Linked DNA regions of Macaca fascicularis. The protein of the gene in region 1 interacts with the protein of each later gene in a pairwise test. Links are inferred from orthologs where the notes say so. Each region holds a gene or a part of one and is shown on either strand. Other genes may lie near its edges. The genes, in order: CEP126, NUDT21 and HMOX2.

The links.
Region 2: the proteins of CEP126 (region 1) and NUDT21 interact in a two-hybrid assay, tested with the Homo sapiens proteins (2 studies listed by BioGRID and IntAct). The link is inferred for Macaca fascicularis from reciprocal best matches to the Homo sapiens genes CEP126 and NUDT21.
Region 3: the proteins of CEP126 (region 1) and HMOX2 interact in a two-hybrid assay, tested with the Homo sapiens proteins (2 studies listed by BioGRID and IntAct). The link is inferred for Macaca fascicularis from reciprocal best matches to the Homo sapiens genes CEP126 and HMOX2.

Annotation. Positions count from the first base shown.
Region 1 is NC_088388.1:100,996,596-101,003,208, reverse strand, and holds part of CEP126 (centrosomal protein of 126 kDa), read right to left. Parts: intron 6,005-6,613; exon of another isoform or gene 5,951-6,004; intron 3,942-5,950; coding exon 3,732-3,941; intron 1-3,731. UniProt on the Homo sapiens protein: Participates in cytokinesis. Necessary for microtubules and mitotic spindle organization. Involved in primary cilium formation.
Region 2 is NC_088394.1:52,507,473-52,514,085, reverse strand, and holds part of NUDT21 (cleavage and polyadenylation specificity factor subunit 5), read left to right. Parts: intron 1-3,047; coding exon 3,048-3,248; intron 3,249-4,348; coding exon 4,349-4,412; intron 4,413-6,613. UniProt on the Homo sapiens protein: Component of the cleavage factor Im (CFIm) complex that functions as an activator of the pre-mRNA 3'-end cleavage and polyadenylation processing required for the maturation of pre-mRNA into functional mRNAs.
Region 3 is NC_088394.1:5,288,198-5,295,285, forward strand, and holds the start of HMOX2 (heme oxygenase 2), read left to right. Parts: upstream 1-2,739; 5' UTR 2,740-2,834; intron 2,835-7,088.

The DNA.
Region 1 (6,613 bases):
AAGAAAAGTTATACTTTTGCCATTTATCTTTTATTGTTCTTCGAATGGGATTGATACATTCTGGCCTTCTGCATTTTAGGAGGAAATATGTGTGTGGTTCTGAACCATAGGTGATTTTTGCCACCCAGGGGATATTTGGTAAAGTCTAGGAGCACTTGTCATGATAGGGAAGTGCTATGGCATCTAGTGGGTAGAGGCCAGAGATGCTGCTAAACATGTTACAATGCACTAGACAGTCTCCCACAATAAAGCATTATCCAGCTCAAAATGTCAACGGTGCTGAGGTAGAGAAAACCTGATAGATACACAAAGTATTTCTATTGTTGTTCAGATCTAAATATTTAGAAATTCCTATTATTTTTTTTTCTTCAGAATCATGATTTATTTAGAAACTTGTTTCTTAATGGTTATCTTTTAGTTAGTAGATTTTAGGTAAATTGCATTGTGGTTAGAGGATGTGGGCTGTGTGACTCCGATCCTTTGAAACGTGTTAAGGCTCGTTTCATGGTCTTATATATGATTCATTTTATAAAGATTGTATGTTCACTTACAAAGAACATGTCCCTTTGATCAGTTTTGTTAATCATATTTAATTTTTATACATCTATTTGATTTTTAAAATCTATTTGTTCTATCAATTACTAACAATGGTATGTTAAAATCACCTACGATGGTTAAAATTATTTTATATATTTTGAGGCTGTGTTCTTAAGTGCATATAAAAATCTTATGTATTTCTTCTGAAGTAAGACTTTGCTCATCATAAAGTGATTTTTTTTTTTTTTTGAGACGGAGTCTCGCTCTGTTGCCCACTTGGAGTGCAGTAGCGCGATCTCGGCTCACTGCAACCTCCACCTCCCAGGTTCAAGCGATTCTCCTGCCTCAGCCTCCTGAGTAGCTGGGACTACAGGCACGCACCAACACACTCAGATAATTATTGTATTTTTAGTAGAAACGGGCTTTCACCGTGTTGGCCAGGATGGTCTCGATCTCTTGACCTTGTGATCTGCCTGCTTCGGCCTCCCAAAGTGCTGGGATTACAGGAGTGAGCCACTGCACCTGGCCCAAAGTGATACTTTTTATGTCTAATAATGCTTTCTATTTAAAAGTGAATCAAAACCAGCTTTCCTTTGGTTAAAACTTGCTTGGCATACCTTTTCCATCTTTTTTTGCTTTCAGTTTTTTAATATCCTTATGTTTTAAATATATTGTTTATAAACAGAATATAGTTTCAACGTAAAGTTCCATTTAACAACCTCTTTCAACTGTACCACTTACTACATTTACAATTATTGTAAATATACTCCTACATATAATCTTACAGTATTTCTTCTATGTTTATTTTTCTCTCCTTTGTTGCTTTATTTCAGATTGATTTGTCAGCTTTTATGTGCCACTTTTCCTTCTCTACCAGATTGGAAGTTGTATATTACATTTCTAGTTCTTTAGTTGTGACTCTAGTAATTATCACAGGCATACTTCAGTTATCAATATCTAACTTTAATCTAGGACTTTACCCAATTCCCTAACAATATAAACATCCTACTATACTTTAACTCCATTTATGCCCTCTCAACTTATGTACTATTATTGATAGGTATTTTAATTCTAACCTTTTTATCTCTGAAACATATACTACTTTATTATATTTATTGTTTTATGCAGTGTTTGTTGAAATTTACTCTCTCAGACTGTCCATCTGAGGTTAACTGCACTTTCTGCCTGGTGAAGTGCGGTGAGAATTTTCTTTAGCAAGTCTGCTGTTAACAAAGTCTCTTGGTTTTTGTCTGAACATATTTTTAATTCACCCCTCTTCTTGAGAGACATTTTCATGTTAAGAAGGTATTAAATGGCTGGGCGTGGTGGCTCACGCCTATAATCCCAGCACTTTGGGAGGCTGAGGAGAGTGGATCATGAGGTCAAGAGATCGAGACCATCCTGGCTAACACGGTGAAACCCCCTCTCTACTAAAAAATACAAAAAATTAGCCAGGCGTGGCAGCGGGCGCCTGTAGTCCCAGCTACTCGGGAGGCTGAGGCAGGAGAATGGCATGAACCTGGGAGGTGGAGCTTACAGTGAGCTGAGATGGAACCATTGCACTCCAGCCTGGGCGACAGAGCGAGACTCCATCTCAAAAAAAAGAAGGTATTAAATTTGAAAGTTACTTTCTCTCAGCACATTAGACATGTTATCAATATCTTCTGAGTTTTTTTCATTGTTTTCTGCCTTTTTTGTTGCTGATTAAAATTAACTGTGATGTATCTTGTGGTAATTTCTTTTTATTTATTCTGAAATACGTTGGGTTGTTGAACTTGTAGGTTGGTATTGTTCATCAAATTGGAAAAGTTGTCAACCATTATCACTTTAGATATTGTTTCTGGCCTTTCAGGCTTTTTAATTTACTCTTTTGTGTCTCTTAAGCTCTATATCATATTTTCCATCTCTTTGTCTCTCTAAGATATATTGTGGATAAATTTCTTTGATTCGTGTTCTAGTTTACTAATTCTCTCTTCGGATGTCTGTAATCTGGTGGTTAACCCATCTACTAAATTTTATGTTTCAATTATTATATTTTCAATTTCCAGGCATTCTATTTGGGCCCTTTTTCAAATCTGTTTGTTCTTTCTTTATAGTTTCTTATTCCCTGCATGTTTAAGTTTAAAAATGACTGCATTTTTGCATTTTTTTTTTTTTTTTTTTTGAGACGGAGTCTCACGCTGTTGCCCAGGCTGGAGTGCAGTGGCGCGATCTCGGCTCACTGCAAGCTCCGCCTCCCGGGTTCCCGCCATTCTCCTGCCTCAGCTTCCTGAGTAGCTGGGACTACAGGCGCCCGCCACCGCGCCTGGCTAATTTTTTTTTGTATTTTTAGTAGAGACGGGGTTTCACTGTGGTCTCGATCTCCTGACCTTGTGATCCGCCCGCCTCGGCCTCCCAAAGTGCTGGGATTACAGGCTTGAGCCACCGCGCCCGGCCGAAAGCTTTTTTTTTTTTTTTTAGGAAAAATTCCCTCTTCCTGTGCTGCCTCCTGTGTGTGTGCATGTGTGGTGCTGCCTCCTCTGTGTGTGCATGTGTGGTGCTGCCTCCTGTGTGTGTGCATGTGTGGTGCTGCCTCCTGTGTGTGTGCATGTGTGGTGCTGCCTCCTCTGTGTGTGCATGTGTGGTGCAGAGCTCGTTGGGTGGCCCAGCTTTATGATGAAAAGATCTTCTATGAGACTACTCATCTTGAGTAGGCCTGTTCCCTTTTTCCTATGAGGCCATGGAAAGCAAAGTTCAATTTCACTCCATGAGTTAAATATCCTCAGGACAAGAGCTAGCTGCAGCACTCTTCTTATTTTTTGAGTTCTTGTCTACATTTAGTTCTTGGTCTTAAGCATTTCTTACATTCTTACTAGATCATCACTATATTGCAGATTTAAAAAATACTTAATCAAGCATTTATGGTTGTTTTGATGGATGGTCAGTATAGGTACGTAGCCTGTCCATTGCTGAAACAGAAGTCTATTCATATATTCCAAAAAGACGGGTAAGTCTGCCAAATAAGTTGACATCATCACAAATGATATGGCATACTTGAACTAGTATTCAAATATGTTCTGAATGGTTATACACTCAATTAAGTCATATGGATACATTTTGTATTTTTCCTTTCAATTTTTAAATTAAAGTTTAAATTAAAATTATCTAAGTGAAAAATGCAGTATTTCTTATAAGAGGTGTTCTTCCATACTTACAATGTAGTCTTTCATTGAGATCATTAAGGGACTCTAGGATCTTCTGTTCTTCAGCTGATAGTGTGCAGATGTTGAATTGTTGAGTTTTACTTAAAGGTAGATTTGATTTCTGTATCTGTTTGCTATTCAAGACAGTCAGAATCTCATCCTCCGGCACTGATGCTTTCACTAAGTTTTCAGCCATCAAAAACTCAGAAGTACTATCTGAAACTACAGAAACTTACATCAGTTATTCTTTGATCCCCTTTTGTCTTTGAGATCAGCCCTTATACATACTTACACATACTTAACTGTCTGTATGTATTCATATTACAAATAGAAACCTAGTAAATATCTGCTACTTTGATTTCATCTATCAGGATTCTCTATCTAGCATTTTCCCATCCTTCATTTTTAAAAAAAGGATATTGAAAATGAAAGCAGTGAGTTAATAAAAATTCCCAGAGTATGACTTAACTAAAGAAAAAAATATTTAATGTAGATAGTTTTTGTAATATGTTTATTATTCATTGGTCGTACAAAAAAGATGACAGAGACCGTTTTTATAATAGTAGTTATAATGAATTATAAAAAAGTAAGACACAAAAAAGCTTAAGGAAACATTAGAAACTTTGATGATCAGCTGAACAGAACTGACAGCCTAGAAACAGATCCAGTTAGATATAAGAACATGTGATCAAAGAAGCATCAAAGACTTGACAGAAGGGAAAGATGATTTTATAAATTAGTTGTTGCTTATAAAAGAATCAATTTGGGCTGGGTGCAGTGGCTCATGCCTCTAATCCCAGCACCTTGGAAGGCTGAGGCGGGTAGTTCACTTGAGGTCAGGAGTTCGAGAGCAGCCTGGCCAATGTGGTGAAACCTCGTCTCTACTAAAAATACAAAAATTAGCCAGGTGTTATTGTGGGCGCTTATAATCCCAGCTACTTGGAAGGCTGAGGCAGGAGAAGCACTTGAACCTGGGAGGTGGAGGTTGCAGTGAGCTGAGATTACGCTACTGTGCTCCAGCCTCGGTGACAGACTCTGTCTCAAAAAAAAAAAAAAAAAAAAAAAAAATCAATTCGTAGTTTTATTTCCCACTGTTTGTTAAAACAAATTCCAAAGACATTAAAGACAAACTTAAGGAATCAACCCATTAATTAAAGCAACCCTGAAGAAAATGAAACAAATGTTTCTGAATTTCTATATTGGGAAGGTTCTTCGACAAAGCTTAAAAGTAATAGAGAAATCAGTAAAAAAAAAAAAGACTAAAACATGTTTATTTAAAGCCAGTCTTCTCTAATATACTTTAAATTTCTGAAGAGCAATACTTTTGTATGTTTTGTTCATTATTATAAATGTTAAGTATTACTTATCCAAAAATGCTTGGGACTAGATGTGTTTCAGGTTTTGGATTTTTTTAGAATTTTGGATATTTGCACATACATGAGACATGTTGGTGATGAGACCTAGGTTTAAACATGAAACTCGGCTGGGTGTGGTGGCTCATGCCTGTAATCCTGGCACTTTGGGAGGCTGAAGTGGGTGGATCACCTGAAGTCAGGAGTTCAAGACCAGCCTGGCCAACATGGTGAAGCCTCGTCTCAACTAAAAATACAAAAATTACCCAGGTGTGGTGGCACACGCCTGTCATCCCAGCTACTTGGGAGGCTGATGCAGGAGAATTGCTTGAACTTGAGAGGTGGAGGTTGCAATGAGCTGAGATTGCACCACTGCACTCTATCCTAGGTGACAGAGTGAGACTCTGTTTCAAAAAAAAAAAAAAAAAAAAAAGAAACTCATTTATGTTTCGTATATACCTTATACACACACCTGAGGTAATTTTATGTAACATTTTAAATAATTTTGTCCATGAAACGAAGTTGGTGTATACTGAACCATCAGAAAGCAAAGCTGTCACTGTATCAGCAATCTATGTGGATGATCTGTGGTTGTCTGGCATCACTGTTATTCCTGACTCCGAATTTATATCTACTGAAAAGCAATGATGTTCTTACACCTATTCACACATAAGTACTTAACAGTAAAAAATAAGATGTATCCTTCATACCCTGAGAAAATAATGTGTTCAGAGCAACTAAGCACCACAGTAACATCACCAGAATTCCTGTGTCAGCTGTTCAGCAACAGCAACAAGGAACAATGGCAGGCTTCCAACCTTAGGTATTATGTTACATTTTGATCAAATGGTTACTGTACACTGTATTTTCTTTTTTTAGGTGAGAAGAAACATCAGAAGCAGCTGAGGCACAAGGAAGTGGGTCCTCTAGGGATGAGGAAATATTCTGCTAGATGACCTTAAAAACTGTTTCTTCCAGAGTCTTTTGCCTTAACATTTACAATGGTTTTTTTTTTTTTTTTTTTTTGGTCTTTGATTTTATAAACCGGCATAATTTCTTCTTGTTATGAGTGCATACTGCTCTAGTCGTTCAATAAACCCATCACACATTTTCATCATATTGTCAATTGGCACTTTTTTTTTTTTTTTTTGCAGTGTTAACAATGTCATTATCATCACTATTATCACAATCATCTTAATTCAGAGCTCTTTTGGCTATTTCACCATTGGTCAATGAAAACACCTGGAGTCTTATTATCGATGTTAATAACCTCTTTGATATCCAGTTCTTCCAGCTTACTGATAGACTCTCAAGGTATATTTTTTGCTTATGTAATAATGTCAGACATCATTTTTTTCTCACTTGACATATGGAATCCTTCAGTCACTACCTTGTTCATCATCATCACTGAATATAGTTGCAGGCCAGAGGTTGTGCCAGGAATGCACAATTGTGTCTTCAGTCCTGTGTTTCAAGTGTTTGCAACAGCATGTATGGCATCCTTCATGCTAAACTCATTTTGAAAACCTTCTACATCCACAC
Region 2 (6,613 bases), on another chromosome or scaffold:
TTGAGGCCGGGAGTTGTAGACAAGTCTGGGCAACATAGGCTGTCTCTACAAAAATGTTTTTAAAAATTAAGAAAAAAATCCATCAAATGGTAAAGGCAAATGTTATCCTTTTTAAAAGTATGAAAGCACAGCTTCTGGGTTACTTTCAGTGGTGATTAGAGCTAAAACCCACAGTCTTTTCTTGTTTTGTCTTGATTACTGAATTAATTTGCACCAAGCCATTATGTAGAATTAACTTGGCAAAATAGTTAGCTTTCAGCAAGATTTTAATCTTCGCTCTATTAAAATTATGGGTTGATTTACAGTACATTTCTTCTCCTATATAAATATAAATATTCAGAAATAATCATTGTGTTGTGAACTTAAGTTCACCTGAGTTAATATTAAGTTGAAAACAAATGCGCTCTCCCCAGTATATTTTCTTTTTTTTTTTTTTTTTTTTTTTTTTTTTTTGAGACGGAGTCTCGCTCTGTCACCCAGGCTGGAGTGCAGTGGCCGGATCTCAGCTCACTGCAAGCTCCGCCTCCCGGGTTTACGCCATTCTCCGGCCTCAGCCTCCTGAGTAGCTGGGACTACAGGCGCCCGCCACCTCGCCCGGCTAGTTTTTTGTATTTTTTAGTAGAGACGGGGTTTCACCGGGTTAGCCAAGATGGTCTCGATCTCCTGACCTCGTGATCCGCCCGTCTCGGCCTCCCAAAGTGCTGGGATTACAGGCTTGAGCCACCGCACCCGGCCTCCCCAGTATATTTTCTTTCAGGAAATATTGCATGAATGCCTACTTTGTGCCAGGCACTGTGCACAATACTGGATATACAGTGGTGAGGAAGTAAGGTGTAGCCCCTGCTTTATGAAGCTCACAGTATGATGAGAACAATATGTATGTCTGGGCTGGCACTCTGATTTCACAGGTGAAAATTCTGACATTTCATCTTGACATTACTGATATATTGGAGCTGGCTCTTGCAACAGAGATGTGTAATGGCTATCCTTAATTCTTTCTAACTCAGGTTGTGAGAATTAAATGTTAATATATGTAAAGCGTTTGAAAAAATTGCCTGGCACATCGTGCTGTGTAGCATATCTGCCGCTGCTATGGATGATGGTGTTAGATTTAGCCTTGGGTCTACTGGGGATGTTCTTTAAATCTTTAAAGCATCCTTGAAATGGTATATTTTAATTCTTTTATAGCTTTTTCATATGCCTAGAACTTGGCTTCTGAAATTAATTTTTTTTTTTTTTTTTTTTTTTTGAGACGGAGTCTAGCTCTGTTGCCCAGGCTGGAGTGCAGTGGCCGGATCTCAGCTCACTGCAAGCCCCGCCTCCCGGGTTCACGCCATTCTCCTGCCTCAGCCTCCCGAGTAGCTGGGAGTACAGGCGCCCGCCACCTCGCCCGGCTAATTTTTTTTTTTTGTATTTTAGTAGAGACGGGGTTTCACCGTGTTAGCCAGGATGGTCTCGATCTCCTGAACTCGTGATCCGCCCGTCTTGGCCTCCCAAAGTGCTGGGATTACAGGCTTGAGCCACTGCGCCCGGCCTTAAAGTAATTTTTAAAGTTTTGGCAACCTTGATTTTTTTCCCCTTTCAAGAATGGCTGAGTGTAGTAGATGCAATAATGTTGACTATTAATGTCAAGGGCTTTTGGTAGAATAGATACTATAGGTGGGCAAATGTGGCGTAAATTCTTACTCAAAGGCTTCTTGCTGTAAGGCTTTAATTAAGGGCGTACGACATATAAGTATGGAATTTTTAAGTATCTTTAAAGAAAAATTTGATCCTTATTAGGCAAGATGAAAACTGTCTTTAACAGTTTGAGCCATATTTTAAATTCTTGGTAAAGGGGTGGGTAGAAGATTCAGATGAGGAGAAGGAAACAATAAGGAGACTGAATAGAATAAATGCCCAAGGCTAGTAAATAGGGTTAGAGGACAGAAAGAGAAAGTAGAAGAGTTGCTGTGAAAAGGAAAGGCTGTGGTGCAAGAAAAATCTGAGGATAGTTGACTGAGAGAAATAGAAAATAACTGGAGGGATGTTGATGAAAAGTGGTGGCTTAGTTTTAGAAAAAAGAGATTAGCCATTAGCACCCATAATTAAAACTTTCTGATTAGATTAGTAGTCAGAGGAATGCAGGGGGACATTAATTATTAGCCAAATTGGTCTTGTTGGAATAGCAGCCATGGTCTAAAACCAGAGGATTACTAATGTTCAGATAACCATTTCTCTAAGCATTTAAGGATAGTGTTATCTACACTTGAAAGTTAAAGTATGGAGGAGTAGCTTGATCTCATGGAAGCTCTGGCTTTTTTTTTTTTTTTTTTTTGAGACGGAGTCTCACGCTGTTGCCCAGGCTGGAGTGCAGTGGCGCGATCTCGGCTCACTGCAAGCTCCGCCTCCTGGGTTCACGCCATTCTCCTGCCTCAGCCTCCTGAGTAGCTAGGACTACAGGCGCCCGCCACCGCGCCCGGCTAATTTTTTGTATTTTTAGTAGAGACGGGGTTTCACTGTGGTCTCGATCTCCTGACCTTGTGATCCGCCCGCCTCGGCCTCCCAAAGTGCTGGGATTACAGGCTTGAGCCACCGCCCAGGCTGGAGTGCAGTGGCGGGATCTCAGCTCACTGCAAGCTCCGCCTCCCGGGTTCACGCCATTCTCCTGTCTCAGCCTCCCAAGTAGCTGGGACTACAGGCGCCCGCCACTTCGCCCGGCTAGTTTTCTGTATTTTTTTTTTTTAGTAGAGACGGGGTTTCACCGTGTTAGCCAGGATGGTCTCGATCTCCTGACCTCGTGATCCGCCCGTCTCGGCCTCCCAAAGTGCTGGGATTACAGGCTTGAGCCACCGCGCCCGGCCGGAAGCTCTGGCTTTAAGAGTCCAGAGAACAAGATTCCAATCTCTACTGTCTCATTAACTTTAGTTATGTAACTGTACAAATCCTGTGTCTCTGAGTACAACATATGCACTTTTTTTTTGTACTGTGGTTTCTTTATGCTAATGTCTGTCATGGTAAATTATATTCTTCAGTTCTCATGTTAGATGTTTGTCTTTGGATCACAGGTACCCTCTTACCAATTATACTTTTGGTACAAAAGAGCCCCTCTATGAGAAGGACAGCTCTGTGGCAGCCAGATTTCAGCGCATGAGGGAAGAATTTGATAAAATTGGAATGAGGAGGACTGTAGAAGGGGTTCTGATTGTACATGAGCACCGGCTACCCCATGTGTTACTGCTACAGCTGGGAACAACTTTCTTCAAACTGTAAGTAGTGTTGGAAATTAACAGCAAGACAGTTTTTAGTAGGATTGCTGTTTATGCAGCTGTGGACTACAATTTTAGCCCTCGGTCATTTATTTCAACAAACACTGCTGTTAATGATGTCTTTAAAAAGAGAAAATCACGAGTAATTTTTCTCCATTGCGGTGCTCGTTTATTTTCCTAACTAGTAATCTGCGTGTTTCTATATGTTGTCGATGTTAGTGATTGAGCTTGGTAGAAACCCTGTGGAATAGTTGAGTTCAAGATCAATGTCTAGATGTCATTGTAGCATCACCAAGAACAATTGGTATTTCTTTCTTGGTATGATTTGCATTTCCTATTCTTAAGATGACTTAGGTTTTTGTGGATAACAGTTTATTTTTTTGTCATTTAAGCTCCTGCATCTCTCAAACATTTGATCCACAACTATTTGACTAGATTATACCAAAAAGAAAGGTCTCCAATACTTAGATGGCGCTCTTGAAAAAGTGTCCCATTGTTTAGGCCTAAAGAATATGATCCATTCCTCTCTGGGCATTTCTAGACTCCATTATCATCAGATAGCTTCCAGAGACGAGATTGGGATGGACTGGTGGTTAGCAATTTTGTTTATGTTTGTGCTATGTTATGTATTCTGTTGGTTTAAAACTAGGGTTTATGTGATGGGTACATATGGACATAAAGTTGGAAAAAATGAACACTGTATACTCCAAAGGTGGGGAGCGGGAGGGAGAGGCGAGAGTTGAAATACTTCCTGTTAGATGTTATGTTCACTGTTTTGGTGATTGGTTCACTAGAAGCCTAAACCTTAGCATTACACAATATACCTATGTAATAAACTTGTACATGTACCCCTTGAATCGACAATAAAATAAAAATAAATATATACAAAGAGGAAAAAAACCTAGGGTTTGTATACTGTTAGTCTGGGGAATTGACATGAATTCAAGCATATTCTCCCCCTTCACTTTGATACTTGTTTTGATTGCCTTATTACACTGAAATATGTTACTTAGTGACTTGATAGACATAACATTTATTGTGTTCTTTGTTATCTCCAAATTGCATTAAGTTGAAAGCTGAAATTCTTAACTTTTATACAGACCTGGTGGTGAACTTAACCCAGGAGAAGATGAAGTTGAAGGACTAAAACGCTTAATGACAGAGGTATTTTTCTGTTTAACCTAACTTTGCATACCATCAACTTAATAGTTAATTTGGCTTTTAATGTCTTGTAAAAAGGATGTTTATTTTGGAATATTGAGTTTTCAATAAATACAACTTAAACCCCAGAATGTTAGTACAATGTTGATTTTTTTTACAAGTTGAACTTACACTTACTTCAATTTTTAAAATGTTAAACTGTGTCACAGCAATGATAAAAACTGACATTTAAGTATTACTGTGCTAGACACTGTTCTAAGTGCTTTACATGTGCTAATTCCTTTAATCACCACCACAACTCTAGGAAGCAGATATTAATAAGTTTAAATTACTTCTTGTTATATAGCTAGTGTGTTGTAGAGCTAGAGGTTTGAATGCAGGTAGTTTTGTTCAAGAGTAGGCCTCTATGGAATTTTGAAAAGAGAAAGACGCCTGTGTTTTCACTTTTTTCACATATTTTTTAGACTTTGCCCAAATTATTCTACTTTTAAAAAATCATTGTAATGCCTGCATGTAAAGACTTGGGGCCAAATGCATAGATACTGAGGATTTTGAGACTGTAAGTTGTTTTCAATGTTTGTTTTCTTCTTTAACATGCAGTTGCCGCCTGCCCCCTTTACAAAACTCATACATTCTCTGTGCAAAAAGCTTGGCAAACACAGAAAAGCAAAGGAGAAACAAAACTAAAGTCACCTGTAATTCTCCTACTTTTGACCTATTGGTTTGTCTTTCTAGTATTTCTAAAAATGTATTATAACTCTTAAACATTTACTGTGCTTGGACTTCCATTTATGTAATGTCTGGTACAAAGATGTAAGTGCAGTAGGATTGAGGGAGTGCAAAATGAGAGACTCACAAAAGCAAAATTTTTGGAAACTGGAAAACAGATGGGCAAATTATAACTAACTTGGCAGAAACCTTAGTCCAACAGACAGGCAGGCAGAATCCAACACTGCAGAGTACCAGAATGACTGAGGAACTGAAGGTGCTAGGTACTTATGAAAGTGGGGGCATGCATGGGCTGAAAACTGGACTGGTTCAAAGTATATATGAAGTATATTTATACAGGTTGAGTATTCCCTGTCTGAGAGCTTGGGACCAGAAGTGTTTAGCTACTATTTGATAGCACAATAGGGTGATTATAGTCAGTAATCACTTAATTGTAAATTTTAAAATAACTAAAAGAGTATAATTGGATTGTTTGTAACACAAAGGATAAATGCTTGAGGGGGTGGATACCCTGTTCTCCATGATGTGAATATTATGCATTGCATGCCTGTATCAAAACATCTTGTGTACCCCATACATATATACATCTACTATATATGCAAAAAAATTTAAAAAAAAGTGATTAGGATTTGGGATTTTTTTTCAGGTTTTGGAATATTTGCATTATGCTTACCAGTTAAGCATCCCATATACAAAACTTGAAATGCTGCAATGAACATTTCCTTTTTTTTTTTTTTTTTCTTGAGACGACGTCTCTCTCTTGTCACCCAGGCTAGAGTGCAATGGTGTAATCTCGGCTCACTGTAACATCCACCTCCCGGGTTTAAGCGATTCTCCTGCCTCACCCTCCCCAGTAGATGGAATTACAGGCACCTGCCACCATGCCTGGTTAATTTTTGTAGTTTTAGTGGAGACGGGGTTTCACCATGTTGGCCAGGCTGGTCTGGAACTCCTGACCTCAGGTGATCCGCCTTCCTTGGCCTTCCAAAGTGCTGGGATTACAGGCGTGCGCCACCGTACCCGGCCTGAGCATTTCCTTTGAACATCATTTCAGTGCTCAAAAAGTTTGAGATTTTGGAGTTTCAGATTGGGATGTTCAATCTGTGTATCTAGATTGTCTTCCCCACTCTGTAATTAGGCAAAGACTGGCTGATGATTGATTCTCTGTAGTAATTGAATCAGAGAACAGGTAGCAATGAAAAAAGTTTAGGGGATGGGGAAGAATAAGCAAGAGTTCCCATTCTGAATAGTCAGACTCTTGGACTTCTATTAGGCTGACAGGATGTTAACAATTGGGCTTATTTTAAAAAAATTTTTTTTGAGTCAGAGTTTTGCTCTTGTTGCCCAGGCTGGGGTGCAGTGGTGTGATATCCAGTGTGAGCAATGGTTGCTCACAGCAACCTCTGCCTCCTGGGTTCAAGCGATTCTCCTGCCTCAGCCTCCAGAGTAGCTGGGATTACAGGTGCCCACTGCCA
Region 3 (7,088 bases), on another chromosome or scaffold:
TGAGATGGAGTTTCGCTGTTGTTGCCCAGGCTGGAACCTGGGTCTGCCTCAGCCTGCCGAGTAGCTGGGATTACAGGTGCCCACCACCACGCCCGTTTAATTTTTTGTATTTTTTTTTAGTAGAGATGGGGTTTCACCATGTTGGCCAGGCTGGTCTTGAACTGACCTCAGGTGATCCACCTGCCTCAGCCTCCCAAACAGCTGGGATTACAGGCGTGAGTCACCGCACCTGGCCAAGAAAATAAATTTTTATCTGAGGAATGTGAGTCCTTTTAAAATACAAGGCCCAGAGAGACGTTAAAATGAGACAGCAGGCTGGTAACCTGGCTCACATTTGTAATCTCAGCACTTCGGGAGGTCCAAGTGGGAGGATTGCTTCCAGGCATTCCACACCAGTCTGGACAACATAGGAAGACCCCATTGTCTTTGAAAACAAACAAAAAAAACCACTGGGAGGCCAATGGGGGTGGATCACTTGCGATCAGGAGTTTGAGACCAGCCTGGCCAATATGGTGAACTGTCTCTACTAAAAATACAAAAATTTGGCCAGGAACGGTGGCTCACGCCTGTAATCCCAGCACTTTGGGAGGCCAAGACCGGCGAATCGCGAGGTCAGGAGATCGAGACCACCCTGGCTAACACTGTGAAACCCCGTCTCAGGCCGGGCGCGGTGGCTCAAGCCTGTAATCCCAGCACTTTGGGAGGCCGAGACGGGCGGATCATGAGGTCAGGAGATCGAGACCATCCTGGCTAACCCGGTGAAACCCCGTCTCTACTAAAAAATACAAAAAACTAGCCGGGCGAGGCGGCGGGCGCCTGTAGTCCCAGCTACTCAGGAGGCTGAGGCAGGAGAATGGCGTAAACCCAGGAGGCGGAGCTTGCAGTGAGCTGAGATCCGGCCACTGCACTCCCGCCTGGGCGACAGAGTGAGACTCCGTCTCAAAAAAAAAAAAAAAAAAAAGAAACCCCATCTCTACTAAAAATACAAAAAGTTAGCCGGGCACGGTGGCGGGCACCTGTAGTCCCAGCTACACGGGAGGCTGAGGCAGAATGGCATCAACCCGGGGGGCGGAGCTTGCAGTGAGTGGAGATCGCACCACTGCACTCCAGCCTGGGCGACAGAGCGAGACTCGGTCTCAAAAAAAGAATAAAAAAATAAAAAAAAAACAAAAATTGGGCTGGGCTCCATGGCTCACGCCTGTGATCCCAGCACTTTGGGAGGCCAAGGCGGGCGGATCACAAGGTCAGGAGTTCAAGACCAGCCTGGCCAACATAGTGAAACCCCGTCTCTACTAAAAAAAATACAAAAAATTAGCCGGGCGTGGTGGCAGGCGCCTGTAATCCCAGCTACTCAGGAGGCTGAGGCAGGAGAATTGCTTGAACCGGGGAGGAGGCTGCAGTAAGCCAAGATTGCGCCATTGCACTCCAGCCTGGGCGACAGCCTGAGACTCCATCTCATAAAAAAAAAAAAAAAAAAAAAATACAGCAGTCAGCCATTGCGTCCTATCTGAGCTATGTATTCATATTCATATCTCTGGTGACTTTTTTTTTTGGAAAAGACATATCCTCACTCTGTTGCCCAGGCTGGAGTAAGGTGGCACCATCACAGCTCATTGCAGCCTAGGAACTTCTAGGCTCAAGCAGTCCTCCCACCTCAGCCTCCCAAGTGGCTGGGACTATAGGCACACACCACCACCTCAGACTGATGTTTACATTTTTTTGTAGAGACGGGGTCTTCCTATGTTGCCCAGGCTGGTCTTGTACTCCTGCACTCGAGCAATCCTCTTGCCTCTGCCTACCATAGTGCTGGGATTACAAAAAGTAAAAAATTCCCTGGCGTGGTGGTGCATGCCTTCAGTCCAAGTTACTTGGAAGGCTGAGGCAGGAGGATGGCTTGAGCACAGGAGTTCCTGGCTGCAGAGAACTCTGATTGCACCATTACACTCCAGCTTGGGCGACACAACCAGACCCTGTCTCAAAAAAAAAAAAAAAAAAAGTCCAGACATGGTGGTTCACGCCTGTAATCCCAGCACTTTGGGAGGCCAAGGCGGGTGGATCACCTGAGTTCAGGAGTTCAAGACCAGCCTGGCCAACATGGTGAAACCCCGTCTCTATTAAAAATACAAAAATTAGCCGGGCGTGGTGGCACGCGCCTGTAATCCCAGCTATTCGGGAGGTTGAGGAGGAGAATCGCTTGAACCCGGGGGAAAGGGGTTGCAATGAGCCGAGATCACGCCATTGCACTCCAGCCTGGGTGACAAGAGCAAAACTCCATCTCCAAAAAAAAAAAAAAAAATCATTCTGTCATTCTGGCTGCTGTTAGAAGAATGCCCATAATGCAACAGGGAGATCAGATACAAGACTGGTAACCGATGTGTCGGAGTTGAGACTCAGTTTCGCAGATTGCATTGGCAAGTGAGCAAGTGGGTGGTGCCACGATTGACAACCCTATTTCTTACATCACTGAGCGGATGTAAAAGGATTAAACCACACTGGGGAAGAAAAGTGCTCAGCCCTGAGGCACCCTCACACACCTCGGCTCTTGTGAACACTAGCGTTCCTGCCGAAGCACCCCTACTTACCCTGCTGAGCAGAGCCTGAGCCTGCAGCCTTCAGACACCTGGAGAAAGCCACATGCTCCGCCTCCCGCCCCCCGCAAGGGCGTGTCAGCTACAAGGGGCGTGTCCTCCCTAGGCCCCGCCCCGCGCTGCGTGCCAACGTTGCACCGGCCTTCGCGCCAGTCCGCTGGGCTGCGGGGACTGCGGCGCCTGAGGGAGTCGCTGACGGGCAAGCTGAGTGGAGGCTGGCTGACGGGCCACAGCGACCTGCGGCAGGTGAGCTGTCTGCGCCCTCCCGGGGCCTTCCTTCCGCCCGGCTCCTCGGACTGCGCCGCGTCCTTCGCGGGCACTGCCTCGGTGCAGGCCTTCGTACCTGGGCTCAACCAGGCCACAGCCCTCTGCGTCCCCGGCGCGGGTCTGAGGGGAGAGCGGGCAGGCCGGAAGCTGAGTGAGGCCGGGCAGAAGGACGAAGACGAGCGTGGAGGGGCTGTCAGGGGAGGGCGAAACCCCGGACGCCGCTCTCTAAAATCGTCTCCCCGGGGGCGCGGGGAGGCCTGAGCGGCTTGCTTTGGCGTCCCCGTTGGGCCCACCGCCTCCCAGCGTCACGGCCGTGCTGGGCGAGGTGACCCCCGGGGTCGTAGCTGGGGACGTCGGCGGTGCTGACAGGGGATGCCGGCAGAGATTGGAGCCCGGCTTAGCGGCTTCCCGGGCTATTGGCACTGGCCGGGTCTCTGCCCTTCCTCCAGTGCCCTTATCTCTATAGGAAGTGCCCCTTGAGTGGGTGTCGTGACTTCACGAGTGAACCCTGGTACAGCTTGGAGCAGAGTCGGACTGGGAGGGATCAAGTGTGGGGGTAGCCGGTTAGTCCGGACATGGGTTTACCTGTCACCTTCTGAGCGCAGTGCTCTGGGTGCATTAATTACCCTGCAGAAGCTGCCAGGACCTCCTTGCAGTCTTTGCACGAGGCCTGCCTGTGTCATGCCATTTAAATCGCGTCTGGGCCGGGGCGGTGGCTCACGCCTGTAATTCCAGCACTTTGGGAGGCCGGGCCTGGCGGATTGCTTGAGGTCAGGAGTCCGAGATCAGACTGGTCAACATGGTGAAACTCCGTCCCTACTAAAAATACAAAAATTAGCCTGAGGTGTTGGGGCATGCCTGTAATCCCAGCTACTCGGGAGGCTGAGGCAGGAATCCCTTGAACCTGGGAGGCAGAGCCTGGGCGACAGAGCGAGACTCCATCTCAAAAAAAGAAAAAAAAGCACTGCATAATACTTTCCACTGGAGGAAGCCCTCTCCTCTCAGCCCCTTGCAAAGCCTTGCGAGCTGATCATTTTTCCACGTGTAAAACGAGGTCAGTGTTAAGACTCAGCTTAGGCTGGGCAGGGTGGCTCACGCCTGTAATCCCAGCACTTTGGGAGGCCGATGTAGGCGGATCACCTGAGGTCAGGACTTAGAGACCAGCCTGGTCAACATGATGAAACCCCGTCTCTACTAAAAATACAAAGAATTAAATGGGCAGGGTGGCGCGTGCCTGTAATCCCAGCTACTGGGGAGGTTGATTTTGAAGGATCACTTGAGCCCAGGAAGTGGAGGTTGCAGTGAGCTGAGATCGCATCACTGCACTCCAGCTTGGGTGACAGAGTGAGACCCTGTCTCAAAAAAGAAAAAATAAATATCACAAGACAAAATTTGTGCTTACCAGGAGTTCACAGTTAAATAAGACATATAAAAGCTTACTTGGTAAAATTAGAAAAAGTTATCAGAGACAACATTTAGGTTTAAACGCTGGTGAGGGTGTGGGAATTTGTAGAGCCTTGGAAACACACACACTCATTGAATGACCTCATCTAAATGGGGATGTGAAGAGGGAAATCCTGTGATTCCTCCATTGTCTGACTTGATTTCCTTTTTTCCTTTGCTGTGGCAACATTTTGAAATGCTGTGAGTCACCAAAAGGGGGAACATGAGCAACTCTAGAAATGCCAGTGCCAATGAGTTACAGACAATAAAGCATTGACTGCCTTTAGCTCACCCCCATCAAATCTGTTGAAAACTTGTAAAATTGGACAGCTAGAGCTACTTTGATTTTTTGGTTTCCTTTTAACAGCTGACTCTCTTCACAGGACATTTGGGCTCTACATCAGGATTGCACCCAAAACTGGAATATCACTCCTCCAGGAGGGTGATATACTTTGAAAATTAGAATTGTGGGTCCAGCGCAGTGGCTCACGCCTGTAATCCCAGCACTTTGGGAGGCCGAGGTGGGTGGATCGCCTGAGGTCAGGAGATAGAGGCCAGCCTGACCAACATGGAGAAATCCTGTCTCTACTAAAAAAAAAAAAAAAAAAAAAAAAAATTAGCTGGGCATGGTGGCACGTGCCTATAATCTGAGCTACTTGAGAGGCTGAGGCAGGAGAATCACTTGAACCTGTGAGGCGGAGGTTGCGGTGAGCTGAGATCCGGCCACTGCACTCCAGCCTGGGCGACAGAGCGAGACTCTGTCTCAAAAAAAAAAAAAAAAAAAAAAATTAGAATTGTGTATTTCAGTGTAAAATTTGAAATTCAGCTTCTAAGTCCTTGGAGAGAAAACAGATTAAAAACTTGACCTAGACTGGGTGCGGTGGCTCACGCCTGTAATCCCAGCACTTTGGGAGACCGAGGCGGGTGGATCACCTGAAGTCAGGAGTTCGAGACCAGCCTGGCTAACATGTTGAAACCCCGTCTCCACTAAAAATACAAAAATTAGCCTTGCAATTTCGAGACCAGCCTGGCTAACATGGTGAAACCCTGTCTCTACTAAAAATACGAAAATTAGCCTTGCAAAAAGTAGCCTGTAATCCCAGCTACTCGGGAGACTGAGGAAGGAAAATTGCTTGCAGCCAGGAGGCAGAGGTTGCAGTGAGCTGAGATCGTGCCATTGCACTCCAGCCTGGGCGACGAGCGAAACTTCGTCTCAAAGAAAAAAAAAAATTATATTAGCGTGAACAATAAGTGGGATGCTAGCACATGCTTATAATCTCAGCTACCTGGGAGGCTGAGGCAGGAAGTTAATACTTAGTGAGCCTAAGTTTTTGGTGTCTTTGGATGCTGCTTGTTGATCTAAGGGTTTTCCAAACCTTTCTTTTTTGGTAAAATTGGGATTATGACTGGGAACCTGTTTTTGGAGTTTCTCGGGTGATTCTTGTTTGGGGTCCTTGTCTAAGGCACAGGCTGGAAAGAGGAGGGAGTGGACTAGCAGGGAAGATAGAGCGGTAAGCGAATAGAATACCTGAGGAAAGGGACGCCGGAAGAGGTGATTGTTGTGTGGTGAACTGTGCTGTCAGTGTGTATATCAGAGGCCAACGAAGTGGATATTCCCTTCACTTGGCTTAGGGAAAAAATTAATTTTTGTTTCACAAATAGATTCGTTTCCTTCCCAGGAATAGGCCTAATTACTGTCATAGTTCTCAGTAACTTTAAAAAGGCTGTGGGGAAGAATGGCATAACAGGCTGGTGTCTTGTACCCAGCCTGCCTTTTTCTTATTCTTCTTTTTTTTTTTTTTTGAGACGGAGTCTTGCTCTGTTGCCCAGGCTGGAGTGCAGTGGCACGATCTCGGCTCACTGCAAGCTCTGCCTCCCGGGTTCACGCCATTCTTCTGCCTCAGCCTCCCGAGTAGCTGGGACTATAGGTGCCCGCCACCACGCCTGGCTAATTTTTTGTATTTTTAGTAGAGACGGGGTTTTACCGTGTTAGCCAGGATGGTCCCGATTTCCTGACCTTGTGATCTTCCCGCCTCGGCCTCCCAAAGTGCTGGGATTACAGGCGTGAGCCACCGGGCCCGGCCTTTTTTTTTTTTTCTTTGAGACAGTCTTGCTCTGTCATCCAGGCTGGAGTGTGGTGGCACAATCTCAGCTCACTGCAATCTCAGCCTGCTGGGTTCAAGCTATTCTCCAGCCTCAGCCTCCTGAGTTGCTGGGATTACAGCTGTATGCCACCATGCCTGGCTAATTTTTGTATTTTTAGTAGAGATGAGGTTTCACTGTGTTGGCCAGGCTGGTCTCGTACTCCTGACCTCAGGTGATCCACCCACCTCGGCCTCCCAAAGTGCTGGTATTAACAGGCGTGAGCCACAGCGCCCGGCCTTTTTTTTTTTTTTTCTTAGCCGGAGTCTTGCTCTGTCACCCAGGCTAGAGTGCAGTGGCGCCATCTCGGCTTACTGCAACCTCTGCCTTCTGGGAGGTGATTCTCCTTCCTCAGCCTCCCGAGTAGCTGGGATTACAGGTGTGCGCCAGCACGCCCAGTTAATTTTTGTATTTTTAGTAGAGATGGGGTTTCGCCATGTTGGCCAGGCTGGTCTCAAACTCCTGACTTCAAGTGGTCCACCTACCTGGGCCTTCTAAAGTGCTGGGATTACAGGTGTGAGCGACCGTGCCCGGCTAAGGGCCTACTATTTTTTTTTTTTTTTTTTGAGACAGAGTTTCACTCTTGTCACCCAGGCTGGAGTGCAGTGCCTTGATCTTGGCTCACTGCAACTTCCACCTCCCAGGTTT